3 linked regions of the Neodiprion lecontei genome follow. The protein of the gene in region 1 binds, or shares a complex with, the protein of each later gene. Links are inferred from orthologs where the notes say so. Each region holds a gene or a part of one and is shown in the gene's direction. Other genes may lie near its edges.

Region 1 (6,960 bases):
TTAAAAATTTCCTCGATTCATTGATTCCTCAAAGATGTTCTCCACGTGGAAAATTTGTTGTAAGTCATAAAATTATAGTACAGCTATAGTGTATCTATATACATATTTCGAATTTGAAAAATACTCTCGGCTCGATTAAAAAAAATTTAAATATCTTTCCCAGAAAACATAAGTTATATAAATCGATGTAGAAAAAATCCGAATTCCAAACATAATATATCTACGATTTCTCTCGGCAGATTTTCAGCACGGATTTTTATAACAGAATTTTTAATGTAGAACTTTTAATGTAGGCAGGAATTTAAAAATTTCTAGATTTACAATAGAAAAAAATATAAATATTAAAAGTCACGATCGAATCATTGTCGAATTGCAGTTTAACATCATTTTTCACGATGTTAAACGCACGACTGCATTTTAAGTGGAAAGATTAGACGATGAAATCCAAACTACCCAGACTTTACCTTGTGACTCAGATCAATCAATCCAACAACTATCGACACCTGACTCTTATAATATAGGTTTAAAAATCTTGTAATCAAGATAGTTCACACTGCTCCAAATACCTTGGACGAATGAATCAGTAAACACTCATACGTGATAAATGCTCTGTCAGTAACCATTGTCACGGAAATAGAAAGAAGGCAACAGTAAAGATGCACTTCAAATTTCCCTTTCATTCTTAGTTCAGTAGAAATTAGGTGATGTGCCGTCAGTGGTAATCAGTTGCATACGGAGAGATACAAACAACAATTGACAACGATTATCTACCTGTTGGATATAAGCGACGATTTTGCAGGTGCAAGAATACCCCAGCGATGGGTACTCACGGTAATGGGATGTTTTGGAATGATGAACGTCTACACAATGAGAATTTGCCTGTCTCTGGCAATCACTGAGATGGTAGCCACCACAGAAGCTTCGAAGAATGACATTTCATACGAGTCTTGTCCTTCAGCTAATTTCACCTCATCGAATATTACAAGCAGTGAAAGTAAAGATGGCACTTACGAATGGGACGAATACACGCAGGTCAGAAGACTAGAAGATCGGGATTTTATACCATAAGAAAGCATAGAAGGGCCCACACGAGGGGTTAATCACTCGTTAAATCTGGTTTACACTTTTCCGGATATCGCTTGAAATCTTTTGAAATCCTTGTAATCTTGAAATCAGGTGAACATCAAATCGATGAGTGATTAACCCCTCGAGCCCAAAACACTGCAAACATGACATTAATTAAGTCTGTTCAAAATCAGACTGCGATGTGGCAAAAAGTTTACCCTTTTTCGCGATGGATGAAATAATATTTCAGGGCATAATTCTGTCGAGTTTCTACTGGGGCTACCTGATCACAAGTGTACCAGGCGGAATACTGGCCGACAGATTTGGAGGAAAGTACACACTAGGCATCGCGGTACTGTCAACAGCTGTACTGACCCTGCTGACACCATTGGTAGTCAAATATTACGAGGCAACGGGTCTGATAGTGTTCCGTTTCCTGACTGGGGTCAGCCAGGGATCGACAGTTCCAGCGATCAGCGTCCTAATAGCCCAATGGGCGCCACCGCAGGAGAGATCCAAGCTCGTTACAGTGGCAGCGTCGGGAATGGAGGTCGGATGTGTCCTGGGAACGGTTCTCTCCGGGTTCCTGATACGCTACTCCTCGATCGGCTGGCCGATGGTTTTCTACGTCTACGGCGGGATGGGAGTCCTCTGGTTCTTGGCGTGGATCTTGTTGTGCTACAGTGAGCCGAACGTCCATCCGTTCATAACGGAAGCGGAACGGACGTACCTGCACGAAATGACGATGGAACACACGCACAAGAAGACCGGACCAACCCCGTGGCGGCAGATTCTGACCTCGGCTCCGGTCTGGGCTCTGATTGCTGGTGAAATGGGCTTCTCCTGGGGTTTTTACATGGTACTGACCGACCTCCCAAAGTACATGAACGATGTCCTCAAGTTCTCGATACAGGCGAACGGGCTTCTGACCTCACTTCCTTTCGCCGTTATCTGGCTCGATGGCATAGCATCCTCTTGGCTCGCTGATTGGCTCATAGAAGCTGGCAAAATGTCGAGGACCAACGTCCGGAAGATTTGCACAGTAAGCGGATCCCTCTTTCCAGCGATATTCGTCCTCGCTGCCTCATATGCCGAATGCGACCGCGTTATGGCCGTCGTGTTCTTCACGGTCGGCATAGGGTTCATGGGATCGTTCTATCCCGGCATCATGGTCAATCCCTTAGACCTGAGTCCAAACTACTCTGGAACCCTAACCGCCATCGTAAACGGAAGCGGCGCTCTTGCCGGGATCCTGGCACCCTACGCGGTAGGCGTTCTCACACCTAATCAGACCTTGTTGGAATGGAGGATCGTGTTTTGGATCACCTCCTCCACCTTGGTAGCGACGTCTACCATTTATGGACTCTGTGCTGACGGCGAAGTTCAGTACTGGAATGACTCAGAGTTTGTTTCGAATCATCGATGGAAGGATACTGGTATCAACGCCGAACAACGCAGGGTCCGTAACGACGATTTGTCACCACACAAGCATGATCGTTAATTGTGTGCGAAATATTTGCTGTACAAAATGACATGCATATGCTTATAGTCACTCTGATTTTCCAGGAAGTAAAATTCTTATACTGCCGACTTTTATTCAACCCCTGTTGAAAGAAAGCTCAACTTTCAATTTTGAAAGAACTTTGCAAACAGGTACTAGGCACACGCGACTGCATATTGAGTTGCCTGCCAAAATATTTCTGGGCAACGTTAATTCTAAATTTTGTAACACGGATATCGGATAGAGGTTAAAACATAATATATTCTTGAAAATACAGGCAACTATCCTAAAAACTGATGTCACAGATATCACATTATGTATACATATGTATAAATAAATATGCAAATAAAAGGTATGTGTACTTCATTGCAACCGCGAATAGAAGAAGCAAAAATAAAAACTACATTGAAAAAGTGTTAAAACACATATGTATAAAATTATATAAATATAATTATGTGTATTTGTATAAATATATGCGTATAATTTTTTTTAATACCTTAGATCAATTGCACAACTGTTTACGAATCGTAAGTCAAAAGCTGGTAGTTGAGTCTATGTGATGATTAGAATATTTTTCTATGCGTAAGAAAGCTTGAAATAATTTGAGAAAACCAATATCTCTTGCATGTAAATTGCAAAGTACCAGTAATACCGATATTTTTAGCGAATTAATCCATCAATCATCAACTTTTTTGACTTTTTTCCGTGGCGTAAAAGGCACACTCTGATGATCGACCATTTCAAACGAGTCATGCCCTTCCCGAAAGCACGATGTACAGTACAAATCACCGTCGCATCCCGTGCAGCGGAGCTGCGCATCTTCATTGCAAATTGTACACCAGGGTAACTCTTCTTCCTCTTCAGCTGGCTGTTTAAAATTAAAAATCACAAGAGATTTGATATACAAATCAAGCGCTGCTGCACTTACATCAGTATCCATAGGCTCTAGGTCATCTAGTTCGGCAAATTTCGACTCTATCGCGGCCTCATCCAAAGCTTTTTTAATAATTCTTTTGGTGGCTGTTTGCTCATCTTCCTCAATGTCCTCAGGTTTGTTCTGATTGAAAACAGAGCAGAGGAATAAACCATGAATATCAGCAAGTTGTGATCTTGAAAGATTCTTCGCCATTATTCAATACTGACCTTGCGAATTTGCGCAGGATCTATTCCTCTCAATCTGGCAAGCCTGTCCTCGATCTGTGCATCCGAATTTACATCCGAAGACAGCTTAAGTTCCTCCAAATACTCATTTATCAAATCTGCAGTCTTTTGTTCATCCGACCTCGTATCCACTGAATGGATCTTGAAGAGAAGTGGCAAATTTGGGAGCAACAAAAGTCAATGAGCTAGTTGAACTAGCATACAAATATACAATTGCAATGTATTTAATTTCAGCTCACATTAGTTTGAGGAACAGGATTATTAGGGTCTTGATCCTTGAGCAGAGCAAGCCTTCTTCTAATCTCCTCCAAGCTAGTTTGAGGCACAGGTTTGTCCTCATCTTTCAATTTCCTAAGTCGATCAACCATATTCTGATCCGCTGGATCTAGTCCAGACTTCAGGCGATCCCATCGTCCAATCTCCTTTTTGTACAAAACAATCGGTGGTTTGGACGGATTTTCAAGCGAATTTAATCTGTGCAGTTTTGGAAAGATTAATGAATGTTTATCATTGAAGATGTAGTAATTGAACAAATGACACTGAAATAAGTTATTCCATCTCTTCATCTCCACTTGCGTACTTCTGAGTAATATCTATTGGAGCAACTTGTTCGACGGACAACGGTTGTCCCTCAGACGGTGTTGAGAGTTGAGGTTTTAAATTTTCAGACTGAACCTTCTCCTCTGCCTTGTTCTCCACCCCGTCTTTCAACCGATAATAGCACTTGCCGCATATTTTTGTGCTGCCAATATCTGGCAGGTCAAATTTGTACCTGAGACACTTGGCGCAATAGGAAAAATGGCAACTTGGACAACCGTGCTGGAAGAAACATTGAAAAGTATTGATATGAATATGGCAAATTTTGTGTCAAATTTTTCTAACTTGTTGCTGTGCATGCTAATAAACAATAACAATAGAATAAGGAATTTGGGGGTAAAAAAAGAAGAGAACGAAATAACTCTAAACAAATATTGCGTAATTGTATAATCAAAGTATGAATCACTCGGTCGATATGCAAGAGTGGAATTGATAGTACGAATTTTTATAATTACCTCTCGAGTAAAGAAGGTGAATTTTGTTTGACACGCGTTGCATGACATTTCATCAATCCTCTTCGTGCCAGTTGAACGTGAGCAGAAGACTCGAAAACTTGAGTCAAATGTGAAAAACTGGTGTGCCCAGATACCGTTTAAAATTATTTCCCGTTGCCGCACCTCAATGCGCAAATTCTCATCATTTGTGATCTCTCTCGAAGATCATCGTCCATCTTGCAGCTAACGGACAACTCTGCAGCGCTTTCGAGTTTCGACGCATATCCGATTATCGATAGTATATCGACAGGATTCAAATTAAATTCAAAAAATGGAACGTTCTTACAATCCACACCGCTAATTGACTACTGAATTTCAGAGTGAATTATTATAACCCTGCGATGTATAAGTCGTGTAATAATACGGTGCTTTGTTCGATTGATTTTAATTCCTTATTTTCGCTTATTTTTCATTACTTAAAACGTTCATCGATGCAAAATACGGCAATTCAAAATTGATCGATAGTTGTGGTTATCGATATAGACCGTTGGCACATTTCTGCGAGAAGTGAACATCGATATATCGCATTTCTCGAATCACGAACCACGCGTTCAGTGCACCAAGGACTGTTTGACGTTTGATTAACCACAAAAACGCGACTAATACTGCAGAAGATTGATAAAAATAGGCAGAAAATCATCGTTCAAAGTACCAATCTAAGCAGAAATTAATTTTCAATGGACGACGAGGCTGAGACGTACAAATTGTGGAGGATAAGAAAGACCGTGATGCAATTATGCCACGACAGAGGTTATCTCGTAACGCAGGACGAGCTCGATCAGACCCTGGAACAATTCAAAGAACAGTTCGGGGACAAACCAAGTGAGAAAAGACCTGCAAGAAGTGATCTTATCGTACTTGTCGCCCACAACGACGATCCGACCGATCAGCTGTTCGTGTTCTTTCCAGACGAACCCAAGATCGGCATAAAAACAATCAAGACATACTGCCAGCGCATGCAAGAAGAAAAAATTCACAGGTAATGGGAATACGGATTGATGGAACAAAAAGCATATGTATCTTATGGCCTGCTTTGTATCATTTAATTGCATGTCATCTTCATGTCTTTCAGAGCAACTATCGTCGTTCAGCAGGGAATGACACCTTCAGCTAAACAGTCGCTAGTCGACATGGCACCAAAGTACATACTAGAACAATTTCTGGAGTCTGAATTACTGATAAACATAACTGAGCACGAACTGGTTCCCGAGCATGTTGTTATGACACCTGAAGAAAAGCAAGAATTGCTCTCAAGATACAAGCTCAAGGAGAATATGCTCATGCGCATACAAGCCGGCGACCCAGTTGCCCGTTACTTTGGCCTAAAGCGTGGACAGGTCGTCAAAATTATCAGACCATCTGAAACTGCCGGGCGATATATATCCTACAGGCTTGTCTGTTGACGGAAGAAAATCCACAATTTTATTCTATACTTCCCCTACACGATATTTTAAGTTTTATCATGTTCAAGTTAATGTTAAGAAAACAAATATTCTTATCCGAATAAAAATTTCTATGAAACGAAAATGCTTAATTTGTTTTTGTGAATTATTCTACTTTAGTTGAGAAAATTAGGATTTCATGTATTATATTTCCATGAAACATTAGGGTTTCTTTTCACTGCAGCTACATGCAAATTGGAGCGACATCATTGGCTCAAAATCAGCAACCACTCCCATCGTGCCATATCGTAAAAATTGAGCCAATAGCAGGACTCAATATCCATGTCGCTTAGTTAAAATACGGACTTTAGGTACTGAACAGCTTCATCTCAACTTAACCTCAAATACGGTTACCTAAATATTAAACTCGATAGATTTAAGAGTCGAAAAATATTGACATTTAACAAAGAGTAAATGAAACAAACATTTTACATTCGTACTGTACCCAGAATTGTGAAGAAACAATACGCAGTAGGTCAAAAACTGATTTTCAAACCGAAGTTGTCATTCAATAAACAATTCTAACCTCGAAACGCAGTTTGTTTATCTCAGAAATAAGAAAGTAATCGATCAAAGACGATGCTATTACGAGACGCATCAATTTTTCATTACAATTTTCAATCATAACTGATGATTGCGCAATGATGCTTCTAAATTTGAAAATGTGACACAATCCAGAAACAGAAATAAATTTATTTCT
Region 2 (10,106 bases), about 3.7 Mb from region 1:
GCGAGCTCGGAGGTAGCCCGTTGGTGAATGCGATAGCGGGATAGAAAGAGAAAGCTGCATATGGGCCCATCCTTCTATCCTTGTCTAATCGCGCGCATGCGCGCTCAGCATTCTCTAGCGCCAGCCTTCTCTTTCTACCGCGCTATCGCCTTCTCACAGAGAGAAACCTCACACATGTGGCAGGCGTGCGACGCGCTAAGTTGTTGAGAACTACTAATCAAATTTGTGTATTAATCATTTTTTAATAACGAAGTTCGGTAATACAGCGATGGATCCTAATTTAAATGCCGAGATTTACAGAAACATGACTTCTGCCGATATACCGCCGAATGTTGATCGGCATCTGCAGTTCATTCTGGTTTCTGATGGTAATATTCTTGAGGTTACCCGGCATTAATGCCACCTAAAATTTATATCGCTAGAACATTTATAGCAACAAACTGTCAGTATGAGTTGTTACGTATTATTCTCTGCCTCTGAGATACTGTGAAGTTGAAATTAAGTCAATTGACCATCCATCAAAGTACTGAAACCTTGTTTTCATTTTTGCCTCACAGATTTGTTTAAGTAACACTATTGCATTCCAATTGCAATCAAATCCATGATTTACAGGTATTGGCGCAATATTAGGTGCGAGTAATATGACAGACCGTTATTGGAATGGCACTGTTTGGTATTACAAGGATCATACCGACTTCAATAGAGACAAAGCAACAACCGCTATGAAAACTGAAAGTGGAGTATGTGACGGTGCATGCTTAAGTGGAACTAATAAATTTGTAATCTGTGAAGACAGCGGAGTTCTTCAGATTCTTAGTATAAATGAGATGGCTGACACACACAACTATGAGTTACAATGTTTAGGATATTCATTTGAGCATGACGATGCCATCACATCCGTATCAGCCTTCGATACAAACACTCGTCTAGTTACAGGAGGGATGGATTATTGGTATTAGCAAAAAAATTGCTCAGAGCGATCAATATAAGTTACCTTTAATAAATTCCAAAAACTCAGATCTGTTCATCTTATGCTGTGGATGAAGATTCTAGATTTTGAATCTCATTTTACTTGGTCCAAACTGCTCACAATGTGATTCAATTCTGTGGGCTTCCATTTGTTAAAAGTTACTTGTAACTGATATTCGTTAATCTTACAGCAGGTGCTTCTTTGTATGTTACAAGAGCAGTTGTATAGTTTATGGTTTTTGCAACATTAGTTAATTACTGCGCGCATGCTTGAACATTAACAGTATTACTTATTGCAATAAATCATACTCAACCAATGATGCTAATATTTGGTTGATTCATATCAAAATATGAATTTGTATAATGTAAATGAAATTTCGTTAATTTTTCCAGCATAAAAGTTTGGGATACGGTTGAGTTGTATTCCAGTCATACTTTCAGTCCGGCTCACACAGATACAGTGACTTGCGTACAAGCGCAACCCAAATCCATAGATATCTTTGCATCTACTTCTCTTGATCACGATGCATTACTGTGGGATCTCCGACAACCAAAGCCAGCCAGCTGTATGTATGCAGTTTATGAATCCCTCTTTGTTAATGAATCTAGATTTTTGATCATGGTCATCGACCTTTGTCATCGACTTTTGCTCTGCAAAGTTTTTTGAAAAATAACTAACCTGAAACACTTTACACAAATATTCAACTTTAGCATTGATTTCAATTTTGTAATTATCAGACATAAGCCACAAAGTGTCTTAACTGATGCGAAGTGCTTAATTTCAGATACTTGATAATATTTCACATTCGTTTTCCTCTGTAACATTAGTGACTGTATCATAATACTATTCCAAGGTATAATCAAAAATGTCGAATGTGGACTGACTGCAGCAGCATGGAATCCGAAAAATGTACATGAACTTGTGATTGGAGATGCAGATGGTAGAATTTTAGTGCTTGATGTCAGGCAATCAAATAGTGAACCTGTTTTCCAAAACCCTCGAGCTTTTTCTAGAGGAGTTTACAGGCTTTTATTCAATTCAGCCAGGTTTGTGTGAACCAATTTCGCTTGATTCATTCCCAGTGGCTATGTACATGAGTATAATGTTTCTACAACACTGAAATTATTTTTATACTTGCCCTAATTATTCAATTTGCATAGAAATGACCAATTTGCTGGATGCTGCGATAGTACAGAGGTGAAGGTGTTCGATACAAGCCACAACATGGAAGTGATATACGAAAATAAGAACCATCGTGACTTTGTTCGTGGATTGGCATGGGACCAAAATTGTCTACTAACAGCTTCCTGGGATAACACTGTTCTGGAACATGCGATATCTTCTTGATGTTGATTTGCACATTAAATTACTCGATACAGAATCGACAACTATGCAAGTCATTCGTTATGTCGAGATGTTGCCTCGTTAATTGTCATCTGAATCAGTGCCCTAACAATTTGAAGTTACTGTTTATTTCATACATTTTTAATAAATGCTTACAACATTGTATATACTATTGTATCATTGGTTTCGTTTTAACAATTTTAATACATGGTTGTAATTTCATACATACAACATACCAGTATTCATGAACACAAATAATAACTTCCCAACATGCCATTCTTATGCAATCTCGAGTAAGCTTACATCATTCTGAACTGTGTTAATATTTTTAATCGTAAGGTAATTGAAACGATCATCCCTTTCCCGATTTGTCTCAAAAACGCGATTGAACATGCACTGTCCTTGTGTCAATTTCTGACACATGACACTAAGTTGTTTCATTGGCCTATTCCGTTAGATCCAACCACTACAGTCACTAAAAAGTGTGATCACTGAAATATAGAAATATATTTCATAGCGTTTTCTACTGGTTGCACTGGCTCGAACAGGGGGCATTCGTTCCGTGCATGCGTCGCCCGGCATCGGGGCAAACCTTCTGAGTGGAACACGCCGTAAAACGTATAAAGGCAGACTAGGGGGCTTATTACGGTTCTCGAATCGAGTGAAAATGACGAAAGTGACTGGCTCGCTCTATTACGGTGAATCTCACGAGGTGAAAAGACGTTATCCACATGAATAAACTCGACACGAAATTCGGTGTCGAGAATCGTTCTGCGCATGCTCGTGAGCGTAATTTGCTTGGATTTGCCTGAAAGTTCCATCGGTTTCATAAAAGAACGAAGATCACTCCATATTTGTTGGTTAAAGAGTAAAAGTTATTGATACGTGGGAACTTGTACAATGAATAATTTAGTGATCGTGATTATGCAAAATCGGGAAAATCGAATGCTCAGAATACGACGAACACTACGCGATGCCTCAGACCCATTCAATATAACTTATATATATTTATATTATTTATTACATATTTTATATATTACACTTCTGTCACGTTCATTTTCTTCAACAATTCTTTCTGACATTCACAACAACTTTTCTAGGTTATCTGACAAAATGGAGTCAACTTTCGTGAAAATGTGAGATCCCTATACCGGAAGTGCCTAGTTACTTCACATTTTCACTCGAGAGATCCGTAATAGAGTGACTAAACTCACGTGAGATGAAAATGTGAGAAGTGAGTAAACTCGCTCGAGAACCGTAATAAGCCTCCAAATCATAATTTCTCCTAAATCAGAAATAATGTGACGTTACTTGACTGACTGCGCGACTGTCAGTTTTTTCAAGCAAGTGATAAAGGAGCCAATTGAACAAACGCAACGGTAATTTTTTGTTTGTAAATATATGTCACAAATGTTAGGCACGAGCATACAGGGGCAAAAAAAATTGACAATTCCACTGAAAAGATAAAAATTAATAAGTAGCAAGTCGAGCTGTCCCAATCTCCTGAAATATACCTAGCAGTTAACCTCTAAAAGCTGAAAAAATGTGTATCCATACTTCGATATCGGACATGCTGTGGATTACTCCTAGGACATTTAAAATTTTGGGAATCTCTCCTCTATCTTTCGGCTCCAGCAAGTCATCATCACTGCTAGACGAAGATGAAATTAGATCTAATAAAAGAATTGCTGTCACAGCACCTACTTAGACTCTTTCACGATCGGCAGCCATAATTGCACTGCTTTGACACCGACTCCCGATTCAGGGCAATATTTTACGCACTCAGTGCCAAGTTCACGTACCCGAGCTGCCAGTGGAACACGCTGGAAATTAGTGGAAATACGAGTCTACCGCTAGTGCGCTCTCAGTTCACACTCAGTGCATCCAATGGAAAACGCTATCAGTGGTTTTGATTCGTGTCGGAAAATGACGTAAGAAAAGCTCCTTGGATCTAGTGTCAAACTTCTGGAATTGTCGGGGAGTGCTACTGCAACGTCATAGGCCGATGAACTAGGAAAATTACATTCGGTTGTACAGCCTGCGAATATTACTGTGACTCATACCTTATTGTCTTTCTTGCTTCACTATATTGTTAACAAGCTCTGTTTCAGTTCCACTCACAGTTTCACTAGATTTTTGATATACCAATCGACTTTTCCACCTACATTAAGTTGCTTCGGTTTCCGGAATTGCGTGATGTTTCGACCTAACCTAACATTTATAGAATCCTGCTAAGTTGTGGAAATTAGGGTATTACAGAAATAAATAATTGACCATCGCGTTATCGCAATTCTTGATTTAATTTCACAAGGTAATATCTACATTACTCAATTAAAATGGTTGATGAGATTCAAAAGAAACTTCAAGCTGAACTTGATAAATTTAAAATTGTTCAAAAAGGTAAGATCAACTCTTTCCATTAAAACACTGGATTGATTTTCTCTCGACTCATTAATTCGTTAGAAATATTTCTCGATATCAGATTACCACAAGGCTCTTCTACAACGGCAGCAACTCGATGGACAGTTAAATGAAAATACCGCTGTAAAACAAGAATTAGATCTTTTAAAATCAGGGAACGAGGTTTTTAAGTTAATTGGTCCGGTGCTAGTCAAGCAGGACTTGGAAGAGGCAAAGCAAAACGTTGTCAAAAGAATGGAGTACATTTCGGCCGAATTGTAAGTATCGCCTCAGATATTTCTAATAAAAATTTTAAACTTCAGTACAACATTAGGCAAAACAAGAGTATGAATACTTTGCAACGAAAGGCCATATACAAGATTCTTACTACCTTCGTTACGAATGCTAATTGAATAAATGAAGTCACCTTCATTCAGCGATGTTTGATTTCTTCCAAGTGTTGATTATCGGTCAAATACATTTGAAGTTTGCGAGTGTTTCAAGATTCACGTAAAGCTGAAACTAGCAGCCAAAGGTGCCAACGTTGACTAAAAGAAGGCATAGTGCCGAACAATCGTAAATCTGTCAATTTGATTGGAAAGCTGATACTTTCACAGAATTACAGATACATAAGTATAGTAATAAGACTTGCCAATCGAAGAGTGTTTAATATTGTTTTCAGAAAACGCACTGAAGATTTGATAGCAAACCTGGACAAAAAGCAGGATACTCACCGCGAGGCATTGGCTAAACTTCAACAATCCTTTCAACAGGCTCAATTGAAGGCAGCTATGAAGGCCTAAAAACGATCGGAAAATACATAATTGTTAATAATCTACTAAATAATTCACTACTGCTGTGTACGCTTTGAGATTATCTTGTCATCTGAAGTCCCTAATGTGAACGTTATAATTCTCATTCATATTTTTCATTAAATACATTAATTATCTAATACATAATTAGATCTAAATTTAATTTACTGACCTCGTTTAAAACCTCAATAAAGAATATACTTTTGAAAATTATAAAATCATAGATCCCTTGGAAAAATAATTAACAGTAGATCAAAAAGGTACCATTGCCTCTATTTAATAATCTAATCTTGAAGATGTTGAAAGGAATGTTTCAAAATTGAAATATTAAAAATATATGAAAACTATATATAAAAACTAAATAACTCAATTAAAAACTATAGAAGTAACTAGTTTTTGCTTCTATTTCTGTGCGAAAAAAGATCGTTTGTGGTTCTTCTTATTTCATGAAATTTAAATACTTCCATTAACAGAGTTCGACTTTCGTATTGATATTCGTAAATTGTGCTGTATAAAAGTCATTGTTCAGAATGCGAAACTGGCCAATCTCTTTTAATTCGTTGGAAAATTTCATTCAAAAATCCTACACGTTCAAAAAGCGTAGCCCACAATAAGGTCTACTTATTGTTGATCCGTTTGTATTTCTTCGTAGTGGTAGTTTATAAACGTTTAGTATTTAATACCCTCGATAAATAGAGCGAAATAATTTTCTCGCTGAATATTTGCAGTATGAAGGATTTATTGTCTACTGGTAAAACAACGGGCATTCTAATGATTGTTAAGATCGCATTCACATGTTTACAAGAGTCTTACATAAGTTCTCTGTCAACAACATATAGAATTGACACTTGTAAATAGATCATCCTGTTTACCAATTAAGTCACTGCAGATGTATCGTATAACGCAGTAAAAGAGTTGCGTAGTTTTTCGAATAAGAATCAAGTTGTACGGGAAGTTACGTTTGTTTACCAGCATTTATAATCGAAATATGTCGGCAGATAATTTGAATATTCTATTATGCGGAATCATATATTTCCCGATTAATCTATACTAGTAAACATCGCGGAATCATTTGAATTTTTACATATCTGAATTCTACCGTATAGGTAAGAATACTAAACAAATGCAAATATTTGTCATAAGACCTTGACGGCATTGGTATAATTACTGAAACATTTTTTTTCCCTTAGAATTGTTGATAAAAGTAAATTTTACCCAACGACTATCGGTGATTCATATTTTGGGATCAAATTTTTAGCAAAAAAAAGCAGTTATATAGGCTTCGTCAAATAAAAATATGCTATTAGTAAAATAAACAAACATGTAATATTATCCCGTAGTGTACTAATTTCTTTGCGAACCAAAATCTGACTAAGATGAGGAAACACGAGGATGCAATAAAGTGACCGCATTTTTATTCATAACTATCAAGTGCAAGGTCTTTAAAGTTTGGATATATCTCCGGTAGAAAAACTATGTTCGTAACATTTTTTACGATGGATTTGATAGGATCAGTTTCCGGCTAATCCGACGCCCACGACAACTCTTAACTTCATTCGTTTCCTCGTAATTTCTTTTCATTTTCTATTCCATTCGAAATTTGAATGGTCAAACAAGCTTTCAAGTCTTGCCCTATTGAATATACATCGTTATCGATAAATAATAAGCCGACGCAGTATTTATAAGCAGTCAAGTTTCGTTGTTATAATATATGCCGTGAGGTCTCGAATTTCTTATGATTTAAAATTTCAATGGGAGGACAGGCGAGTAATCGAATTGCTGGGTTTCGAAATGAATTACAGATCCGAGCACCGTTCTTTTTTGCTCATATATTTGTTTAATAGATAACATAACAAGCGGGTATCCGGCCCCAGTCGGTAGCGCGAACCTCCTCCTAAACATAGTAATTATTATCTTTATCGTGTATATAATATTTATAATATGGTAATAGTATAATGATTCGTATCTACAACGTTGATATAGAAAATATGTTTATACAAATAGGAAAGTATATATAATATATTATAATATAATATACATATTACAACGATTACGTACATAATTATATATAATATCTCAATATCATATTAAAATAGAATATTATTGTTGCCAATTGTATGACGCTGGTGCGCTGGCGCATATACATTGTATTATCAATTTTTATTATCTATATTCTTACATTTCGCGTGCGCGGCCGAGAGGTTTAATAGGATTTCACGTTAACGTTAGTTGGGCGTAATTAATTCTTTTGTTAGTATCAACGCGTCTTATTATTGTATACACATATCCTATATTCAATATTGACTCAAATTTGTGAATTATGTAAGGGTATTACACGCGTGTCTGACGCCAGGTTCGTGTATTTCATGGTCACGTAAGTTGGACGTGGGCACAACTGCTGACTTTCACTTTAGCATTTTATTTCAAGCCCTACGCGTCAATTGATATGCGCAGTTCAAAGATTCTTCAGGCGAATGGACCTCAGCCAAGACAGTTGAACTATGTTACGATATGGACGCAATAAAAATAACCCCGTCAATCCTGCTGGTCAAAGATCTATAAAATCGTGATATTAATTCCTCTTGATTAGTTCATAACCCTTCTCTAAGACAGATGCTAGAGGATGTGAAACGAATTAACGAAAAATTATTCATGTAAACTTCAACTGGCTTTCTGTGATTATTCCGGGAACGAACGTGGAGGTGTAGCTATAAAGCAATATGGCGACGAGAACCGAACTATCGGCAAAATATTTTATGTCAATTATGCGAATAGAAAACATATACAGACAACTTGATGCAATTTGCGAGGCTTTAATTTTTTCACATGCAGCCGATAACCTGTAAAAAATACGATAAAAGTGCTCATTAAAAATTAAATACGGGCCCCGAAATTAGGTTAACGTATTTTTTCGCCACCAGATGTCACAGCGTTACATTTCCATTCCCAATGATAAATCGTCGACCCCCCCCCCTCCCCGTATTGTACAATTTATACACCAAGTCCGATTACTCGTTTAGAACGCAAGTGCGAACAAGGGCGTCGATGACGGAATAAGGATCACAGTTACTACTGGGCCTCCTGTCCTCCAAGTACCCTTTCTTGTCCTCGGCGACGCCGCGAGGTATACGAATACTGACGTTCCTGTTCGCGACGCCGGCGCTGAAGTCGTGGATACTGCTGGTCTCGCACTTTCCGGTTAAACGGCGCTCGTTGTCCTTTCCTCCGCGTGGATCGTAGGCCTGGATGTGCCTGAGGTGCTTCTTGCTGAGGCGGTCGATGGCCCTCTCGATCTCGGCGATTCCGCCATCGGCGCGCATCGTCTTCGTCGAGAAATTGGTGTGGGCACCAGCGCCGTTCCACGCTCCATCGACGGGTTTCGGGTCGAGGGTCGCGATCACGCCGTACTCCTCGGCGATGCGGTGGAGGATGAACCGCGCCATCCAAAGGTCGTCTCCCCCCGATATACCGACGCAGGGACCGACCTGGAACTCCCACTGCGAGGGCATCACCTCGGCGTTTGTTCCGGCGATCTTCACCCCGGCGTAAAGACACGCTCTGTAATGAGCCTCGACGATTTCCCGCCCGATCACTCGGTCCGCACCGACACCGCAGTAGTACGGTCCCTGGGGTCCGGGGTAACCGTTCTTCGGCCAGCCCAACGGCCTGTTGTCGAAGTCGAGGAAGGTGTACTCCTGCTCGATACCGAACCACGGCTCCTGATCCTTCACGGCTTCCATCGATTGCATGGCGGCGAACCGCTTGTTACTTTCCGTCGGTGTCTTGTCCGGCTTGTAAGTCTCGCAGAGGACAAGCTTGTTGTCGCCTCTTCGGAAGGGGTCGCGATAGATCGCCACCGGGGTCAGGTAAATGTCACTGTTGGCACCGTCCGCTTGGTACGTTGAACTACCGTCGTACGTCCAAATTGGCAACTCTGCAAATGAACAAACGTATGGTATGAGCTTCGTTAACTAGGTTCATCTTTTCTGAATACTGGCATTGTCACTTTTCAATGCGTCATCTGGTGGAAAACAAATTAAAGTAATGCAATCAGACTGACAGCTGAGCGTTGATCGACGTGTTTTTCACGTGTGGATGTTAGAACAGATGTATTATTGATGTTGGTTAATTAATTTACATGACATGAGTGATTTGAAACTCCAAGAAGTACGATTTGCTTCCATTAAAATTAAAAACTTAGGTTATGTGGTGATAAAATGACGCCGATAATCAGGTTCTGACGTCATGAGGACATTATCCAATACTTGTCATCACGACAGTGGACAGTAAGGTATGTGGAGATTCTCAAAATAATCATTATATGTATAAGGTCACTAATTTGCATCGGTAATCCGTAATAAGCAATTCTTCAAATTGTCGGTTTTAATATATCATGCCGTAGTATACAATTTCATTACAGTGATTACTTCATGATTCGAGAAAGGTACGGTTATTGTTTTGTTTTTCTACTCCATATCACTAAAATTTGTAGCACGCTTTATTTTGCATAATTACGTAACGACTTGGCCTTGGTATAAATATATTCCCGAAACCTCTGGAGACTTTCTCTTATAAAAAGG
Region 3 (8,502 bases), on another chromosome or scaffold:
ACAATATTCAATTTTGAGTCATAGCTGAGGAAATTTTTTTTTTATTAAGAATTTTCAAGCTGAATTTGAATGTAATGGCAAAATTGATGATTGATAACAACTGGAGCTCTTTCTCAAAGTTGTATCGTGTAAGAAGATTCTTTCAACACATTTGCTTTGAGAAGTGAAAAATCTATATGAATTGAGAATGATAAATTTTCATTACACAGAGTATAAATGATTTTCTTCTAATAAGTATTAGTAACATGCAGACGAACCTACTTCATTTTCATAGGTTTCTTCCTTGATGCGAATGGGTATATCTAGCCCATGTACATGGACGTAAACTTGACGATCGCCACCAATGGCCCACATGAAATGAGGCACTGCGGAGAGTTGTTTAAACTCCAGTCCCAAGTACATGAATTCTCTCCACATATTGCCTGATGTCGAAAGTCCGAATACTCTCCCCTCATTGTTAATAGCGTATAAATATGAACTCGGCATCTCAACTCTTGATGTATAACATTATAAGAATTATTATTTAAATAAGAAACCCAAAGTTCAAACAATAATTGAAAGCACTGTATAATTTTAATTTCCAAAATTAAATTTATCAAAGTCCGATATGCCTAGGATTGAAGCAAGTTGATATAATTTAAAAGTTTCATTAGAAACATTAGAACAAGTATAGTCGAAGATTGATAGAAAATTTCTAGTAATTACTTATGTCAGTGTAAATATTACTTACAAGGTAAACAGTGAGCTAAATTCTTATCACAGAGATGAGAAATACTTCGTTCAACAATGTGTTGAGTAATGTATTGACAAGCTTCAGTATCTACGGATTAATAGGAATTGGGGAGTCTCAGATCTTCTAAGTATGATAAAAATAATACATATGCGCTATGTGAATATGTTTCATGTCGTACAAAACTGGGATACGTATATTGTAGAATACTTTCTTACAAGAATACCATGGAAACGCAAGTGGATGTGCTGCATACGTACTTTAACCTATTATATCTTGAATTATACGGTTGCCGTCACATTTATGTGGATTGGAGTTATGAAAAGTAGACGTTAGCATAAATAAACGAATCGATCGGACAGTAAAGAACAACGCAATTCTGTCCTTATGTCATTATTGATGCTTACCACGCAGGTATTGATACGACGACAAGACGACGTTTGACAGCTTCGAGGGTTTGTCAGACGTGATCGTTCAAAGGCGGCTGTCAGTTTGGATTTTATTTTTCTTTGCTTATGACGATCCACTTGACCTTCGGTTTCCGCTCAAAGTTGATACCACAGTGATACGCTAGATGACAGCAGTAGCTCGTGTATCGACCAATCAGGTTGTAACGTAAGAGAGACAGGTTGTACATGGCATGAGTGCTCTATTTCACTCCTCCGCCACACTTTCTATACACGCGAAACTTCCTCCAGTCAACTCCTCCAGTCAACGCCTCCAGTAGTATTGAGTGAGTAGTATATGCTCTAGGTAAGAACGAAACGGTATGCTTTTGCGCAGCCATGTTTGAGAACTAATCGCGTACCTCGTGGTATCTCTTCCATATGACGGCCATCTTGGATTCTTATATAATTGCATTCGATGTTATTAAAAGGATGGCTTCCATGTGGTCGGCGCAGAACGGGGCGAAAATGCGTCCGCCGGAAGAACACACTTTATTTTGTTAACATCACGAAGTACCTAGATAGTAGAGACCCTAAGAAGTACTCAGACTTATGGCCACCGCTTATAGTAGAAATTGTGATCGTAACTATCACTTTGTCGTAAACATAGCCTCGTGACCCGAATAAGAGACATGAGAGACTAAAAGCCTAAAATCGAAGAAATTTTTAAGGTAAAAAATTCAAATAAGCATTCCAACGATGTTAAGCTTCTTTGTCGTAATAATGTTCCTAACCATGGACATTGACAGAGAAGTTTTTAAGCTGTCAACACCAACTAGCAAAATTACACATCAAATTGCTTATTTTAATTCTGTGCATCACCAGTTTTCGAAATAAACTGATATTTACAACCTCGGGTTTGAACGACAACACTTTGCAATGTCTTTGCATTCAAACTGGGTTGCGTTAACTACGGTTGACATACCTTGGAAAAGTTTTGTCAAGGAGTCCACTGAGGTACCGAGCAAATCTGCAAAGAAATTTCCTGGACGACTTAATTTTCAAGGAATCGAGGCAAAGAAAACTTACGAAGGTATCATCTGCCAAAATTTTAAACCGGATACCTTGGCCAAACCTGACATAGCTCCAGAACAACAGAGTAATCTGCTCAAGTCTAGCAATTCTCTATTTACACAAAAAGTCATAACGAATGTCAGTACAAACTCAATTTTGAAAGCAGTCGAGCAGAACGATTTACATTTCTTAAGGAAACATTTGAATTCAGATAATGTCAATGTGTCGGACGATTTCGGGTGGACACCATTGATGTCAGCAGCATATAATGGCAATTTTGAAATTGTTCAATATCTGTTGAAACTTGGAGTGAATAAGAAAGCAAAGGAAAAATCTGGTTTGACAGCAGCTCAATTAGCTCTTAAAAGAAATCATTTGAATATCGTAGCTCTACTAAGGAAGAAAAATAGTCAGAAAGACCCTGAAGATATTAAAAGTAGCCCAACTTTGTCACACGATAAGTCTGACATTGTTTCTTTACGTGATGATGAACGTGGCAAAATAACGAAAGTAGAGGGGTCATTTAAAAACGAGCTACAATCCATTCAACAAAATGCCAACAATTTAAAATTCGAGTTTTATTGCGAAATATGTAAAACTGCTTTCAAAGAAACGTCTGTTAAACAGCATGAGTCTTCGACACTGCACATTTTTAATACTAAACCAAAATTGCGCTGTGTTGCATATGGGATAGCAAAACAAAACAAAGGGTATCAAATGCTTTTAAATACTGGATGGGACGAAGAAACTGGGCTGGGACCTTCGGGGCAGGGCGCAAAGTATCCAATCAAGACAATTCTTAAAAGAGATCGTAAAGGTCTTGGCCAAGGAGATAACAAAGAAGCTCGAATAACTCATTTTAAGCCAGAGGATGTGTCTGCAGTCTCTCCAGTACGGATAATCCGTCCAAAGACCTTAAGGAAAAAAGATAGAGAAAAATTATTATCCAGAGAAGCTATGAAAGATCGAATGATACGAATAGCATTGTCTTGAATTCGCACATTTTCAGCTATAATTCAGCTGCTGCTGGCATTGCGATAGATGTCTAACTATTCAATTGAATTGCAATAGCTTCCTGCAAGTGTAAGGTCACAAGAAAGTTTATTATAATGCTTACTTTCATATCAGAAAAGAGAAATTACCTGTATTTCTCAAAGAAACATTCGAATTCAGTTATCATTTGTTTGCAAGAATTGATTGAATAAGTTGTCAGTTATAAAAGGGGAAAAACAAATTTGTCATCACTACAGCTTAGTTGACATTGAACAAAGATCGTTCGTATATTGACCATTTAAAAAAATATCAGACAAGGAGATGTGAATATTGAGGCAACGTAAATTTATTATGGAACAAAACTTGACGTATGGAGATCAAGATATTGAGTTTGAGGTTCTTAAGAAAAGTGCGGAGCATCAGATAAGAATTCTTCTACAGAAATCAAGAAAAGATTGATGAAGGAGTGAAAAAAGGCTAAAAAGCAATACAATTGCTTTAGAATAATTGAGTCATTAGGAGAACGTTGAAAAAACACGAGGCTGAAATTGGTTATGTCATTGTAATGAAACGTTGATTATTCACTATTTTTCCATGTTACAAGGACTTTGAAGGAGATAAGTCTTCAAAATATAAGTATAACCGCTTACTGAAATTCAGATAGTTATAATCTCAAAAATAACGGCTTGCCTCAATATGCCTCATTGCAATAACGTAACTAAAATTGTAACTTCGACATGATGAAATGAAGATGGAGAAGGGATGTTGACCAAAGAAGCTATATAAGATCAAACGATACGAGTAACAGGTTTTTCTCACACCACTTGTTCTCGAATCTAATATTCAATGATTGAACAACCATGAGATGTGTATTTTATTACTGTTTAAAAATCAATGGTGTGATAGTTGATTTAGTATGAACTGCTATGTACAATATATAAATAGTGACGTAGCAGAGACAGTTGAGATTACAGTTCAAGGGTGTGTTCAACTTGGGCGTTTTGAGAGCTGTGACAGCCACGTTCTATAGCAGTTTATACGTCGATGTATATCTACATGTATGTACTGAAAGCGCTTAAGTGCTCAATTCGAATGCACCCCAAGTAGTGAAGTGCCTACATCATATGTTTCAACTATGTATTCTTGCCATATAGAATCTTGGAAAGTCCCAATACTGTAAGACTGAACATGAAGAATTTGGCAGTGTAAGATGAAAAATAATTACGCTGTATTTTTTTTTTTCTTTTTGATACATTAGTCCATGTATTCTACTATAGGTATAACAGTCACACTTCATACAATGTATCATGTTGTTAATATCTGAGACTTCAGCAGAAAATCATTCGTTGAAACAACATGCATCATTCTACAAATTAAGGGGAATTCTCAGTCTGGAAGCCGCATTTCAAGAGTTAGAATCATGATTTTTTTTACGAATGAACTAACAGTCTTAATGAATTAACTTTTTTTCAAGATTTATTACATATATTTGTGAACTTGTGTGATTTTTTATGTGTAAAAATATCAAAAACAGGCTGTGGTATAAGCAATGGTGTAGCGGCCCTGTGGACGTGGGTGCCCAATCGGTGCGATATCTGAAGGTTATAAATTTTATGTGAAAAGAAGAAAGATACTTAAATTATAAGTTATTGGTTATCGGTTTACGTAAGTTGTGTGGAAATTTTGAAAATTGTCCAAATTACAACCTCTTGAAGGCAAGACCTCCGCTTTGCACTTTAAAGAAACACGGTAATTTCATTATTATTAACAAATGAATTATCCAAATAACAAGAGCCTATGTGAACTGAAAATGCCTGCTGTTTCGAGGATAAACGCACAAGGCCAAATCAATAGTGTGACTGTTACTCAAGGTATCAGTCATACTGCATTAAGAAATGTAGTTTCGAGATAATCGCAACCGACTGATATCGAATATCGATGCTCACTGTTTCGTTTCAATGGCTGCAGCTTCGTCAATTCTTAGATTTTTTCTATTGTTTTGGGTTCAAAATACGCTTAAAGCATTTCACTTCAAAGATATAAAAGAGAAAATATTGATTTTTGAAAATTTCCGGACTGGGATCCCCTCTTAAGAACTTTGTTTTAAAACTTCATAACATAATTCCTTTCGGTACATGCATTACGTTTACTATTGTCAATATTCTTTATTCTACAAAGCTTATAGTATATTCCCTTTCTGGTGAAGTGAAAAAAAGAATCATTGACTGGTGGTACAACTGGAATGGATGATGTAAGCACTTAATTTCTTACAATATATGTACAAAAAGATGTGCTACTTTGCGATTTTTAAGAAGTTGTAAACTGATATTAATTATTGTTTCCATGTCTTGTTAGGATTAATTACACCTAATTATAAGATTGGTAATTGCATTCAGAATAGAGACAATAAACCAAGCAGATTTTTTTCACCAAAATTTTCAAAAATATTAAGAATGAAAATATGTTCAATGTACTCAAAAAGACGTATGCAATAATCTGAGTAATTGTTAGATTGTTATTGATACGATTGTGATATTTAGCATTATCATCTGTTTCCCACATAGTAACAAAGACTACGCAATGAATGACGAGCAGAAGACATTGAAATATCTGGAAGAAGTTGAGGCCAAGGCTGAAGAGATATTGATGGATAGGCAGGAAATTGTTGCACTGGATAAACGAAGGAATGATGATAGAATGGGGGAGCGGGCTTTGCGGAATCAAAAATTTGATAAAACTTGGATGGCTGTTGGACCTTTGCTGATAAAAATGTCAACAAACTCTGCTCAAGAGTTGCTTGCAAAAGGTAGAATTTAGTGAAAAAATAAAAAATGTGAGACAAGTCAATTCAGCACAATCCTTTGCATTCGCAAACTAATTTCAAAAGTTGTTTCCATGTTGTAGATCAGAGAGAGTGCGATGTTGAAATCAACAAAATTAGGAGTGATTTGAGAGTTAAAGTGAACCAGCTTCGTGATTTAGAGCACACTCAGTCTGTTCCAGGACTAATGCTAAATCCAATGTCTCGTGAAGAAATGTTAGCAGTAAATCAAGTTCTTGGCAAAAGTCTTTGAATGGTTGATGTTTAAAGAGATTCAGATCGAAAAGTTTGACGATAGTAAGTTAATAAAGGTAATATAAAATACCTGGTTATTTGTAACTAGTCATAGGAAGAGAGAAGCTGAAAGAGTTTAAATTTTTAAGAAAAGAAACTTATGGTTGCGGAACCATTGAGAAAAATTATATAAACGCAAGCATTGCATCTTATTATTTGTTTATAGTTATTGGAAAAGTAAGGGTGTTGTTTTGTAAAAATTTAAACTTTTCAATAAAATGTCACAGTGAATAACCACGTTTATTTTTTATACAATTTTGTCTCTTAAGCTTTGAATAACCTATTACCGTCTCATCATTTGTACTTTGGCTTCATCGATGAACCATGGACGAAGGAAAGAGTACTTAGATTCACTGTCCATCTGATGAACCTGCACATCATTCCCTGGTACCCACTCGAATTTGTAGACACATTCGTTATAGTCTTTTGTAACTACTGATTGGACAAAATTCAAAAATTCATTGCAAAAGTTCATACACTCCGAAGCATTCCAAATTCCCTGTAACAATGATGGTATAATTAACACAAATTACGCAAAGTTTTGTAAATAAAATTGCGAAATTTGTTCAGACATTTATTGATACTTGAAAAAAATTTTCTAAAAACTTAACACTAACGATGCTTCTGAAAAACATGCTGTTTTGTGATATCAGAGGGATTCTTTATAAAACTTAATCACCTTTGACATTCTAGTCATCTCTGGTACGCTGTAATTGGTTAAATTTCTAACTATACCATCGTCATCTCGGAATCCACAACAAACGTTTTCGATGCCGACCAAAAAACTTTGGCACCACCATTTAATTAACTTGTATCTTCTAAAGTTTTCCTCCTGACGCCTATTTTCAATAACTCGACTTGTCTTCAGTTCCACAAATTTAACCCCTTTCCAGTCAATCGGCTCTCTTAAAACCTCATTGGATGAAACCCCATCCATCTCCGCGCCATACAATAATCTATTATTGCCAAGGCGAGATGTGAACATACAGCAAAATTCTTCACCTTCATTAACAGGCTTAGAAGTGTCTGATGCTTGTCCAGGTGAATCTGTAAGATCCTAAACTCATTGAATTTAAATCTGGAAAAATAGTACACAGTACTAATTGAGAAAGAAGAAGGAAGTCGGATGGTGAAAAGCATAAAAATTAATGATATTGTAATAAACGCCAATAATTGTTTATACCAGTCAGTAAATATTGCTCGAATTTGAATCCCCAGGACATGAATTGTAACTGCTTTTTGGATATGTTGCTTTTTCGTAGCTTTTTCTCCTCTGTATCAAAGGCGCAAAGGTATATCGTGCCCTGCCACTTCGATGCACAAATTATCCATCCCTCTTGTTTCTCAAATGGAGTACACCAAAGCATTGTCAGTAAACCCCGGAAGCATACAAAATGAGGCTGTAACCTGCAATCGATAAAGAATTACAAAGAGCATTGTCAAGCATGAAAAAGTTTCAAATTTTTTTTGCAGTAATTATTTTCTATTCTTATTCACAATTTGTTGGGTAAAAATTGATTTAAATTTAGCAACACACAAATGCGATACGAAAAATGGCTTGAAACATTAAATCTGTGACGAATAATTTATTTTGAAAAATTCAAACCATCGATCGGAATCAGGTGGAGCACGAATCTTGTGGCAATTCAAAAGAATCCACCGTAACAAGTGATCCAATCTCTCATTATCGGCTTCGGCTGTTTTTCGTATAACCAAATCATAACCCACTTTCAGGTCAAATTTGACAGTCTCCGAAGGTGATGCATTGAAGTATTTCAATTGCACAGTGTTTGGCAGAAATTCTCTGTTTTCGTTTAGACTAAAGCAGCCGGATACCTCTGGTCTACTAAAATGTGGAAAACCTTCCCCATTCCAAGATCTGTTGATGCGAAATCTCGAGGTTTCCATTGTTTAAAAAATGATCAAGATCAGTATTTCGTTTGTTTACAGAGTGAAGAATGGCGACCTTGACACTGCATGGAATAAAGCCAATTCTGACAGATAATTTGCAGCTTCTACCAAGATCCGTGAGATGGCGTGAAAGTATATTGAAATCATTATATTCCAGTGGAGTCCAAACCATACATATTGCATAGCTATGGAACAAACTTCAGTTTAAAAATATTATGACGGATCAACGGCCCTCCAAGTGGTGTTTTTGCAATTACTGTGTTTATTCTGTAATTTGATCAATCCAAATGTTA

What was found. The genes of interacting proteins can lie anywhere in the genome.
Region 2: DNA-directed RNA polymerases I, II, and III subunit RPABC1 (region 1) and prefoldin subunit 6 share a complex: the UniProt entries of both Homo sapiens proteins name them as parts of the PAQosome complex. The link is inferred for Neodiprion lecontei from reciprocal best matches to the Homo sapiens genes POLR2E and PFDN6.
Region 3: DNA-directed RNA polymerases I, II, and III subunit RPABC1 (region 1) and p53 and DNA damage-regulated protein 1 share a complex: the UniProt entries of both Homo sapiens proteins name them as parts of the PAQosome complex. The link is inferred for Neodiprion lecontei from reciprocal best matches to the Homo sapiens genes POLR2E and PDRG1.

The regions. Positions count from the first base shown.
Region 1 is NC_060266.1:3,233,560-3,240,519, forward strand, and holds DNA-directed RNA polymerases I, II, and III subunit RPABC1, read left to right. Parts: upstream 1-5,337; 5' UTR 5,338-5,495; coding exon 5,496-5,797; intron 5,798-5,890; coding exon 5,891-6,221; 3' UTR 6,222-6,345; downstream 6,346-6,960. Other genes in the region: putative inorganic phosphate cotransporter, read left to right, coding at 35-59, 800-1,032, 1,316-2,566; abscission/NoCut checkpoint regulator, read right to left, coding at 3,243-3,434, 3,495-3,623, 3,710-3,868, 3,967-4,201, 4,308-4,546, 4,780-4,827. UniProt on the Homo sapiens protein: DNA-dependent RNA polymerase catalyzes the transcription of DNA into RNA using the four ribonucleoside triphosphates as substrates.
Region 2 is NC_060266.1:6,914,898-6,925,003, reverse strand, and holds prefoldin subunit 6, read left to right. Parts: upstream 1-4,357; 5' UTR 4,358-4,650; coding exon 4,651-4,714; intron 4,715-4,796; coding exon 4,797-4,992; intron 4,993-5,396; coding exon 5,397-5,517; 3' UTR 5,518-8,157; downstream 8,158-10,106. Other genes in the region: methylosome protein 50, read left to right, coding at 269-368, 613-952, 1,363-1,535, 1,824-2,016, 2,131-2,317; glutamine synthetase 2 cytoplasmic, read right to left, coding at 8,535-9,460. UniProt on the Homo sapiens protein: Binds specifically to cytosolic chaperonin (c-CPN) and transfers target proteins to it. Binds to nascent polypeptide chain and promotes folding in an environment in which there are many competing pathways for nonnative proteins.
Region 3 is NC_060264.1:9,172,712-9,181,213, reverse strand, and holds p53 and DNA damage-regulated protein 1, read left to right. Parts: upstream 1-4,254; 5' UTR 4,255-4,371; coding exon 4,372-4,388; intron 4,389-4,426; exon of another isoform or gene 4,427-5,429; coding exon of another isoform or gene 5,430-5,434; intron 5,435-5,747; coding exon 5,748-5,989; intron 5,990-6,087; coding exon 6,088-6,257; 3' UTR 6,258-6,553; downstream 6,554-8,502. Other genes in the region: tectonin beta-propeller repeat-containing protein, read right to left, coding at 262-486; decapping and exoribonuclease protein, read right to left, coding at 6,582-6,797, 6,978-7,345, 7,482-7,705, 7,905-8,206; uncharacterized protein LOC107224090, read left to right, coding at 8,257-8,341; uncharacterized protein LOC107224089, read right to left, coding at 8,423-8,476. UniProt on the Homo sapiens protein: May play a role in chaperone-mediated protein folding.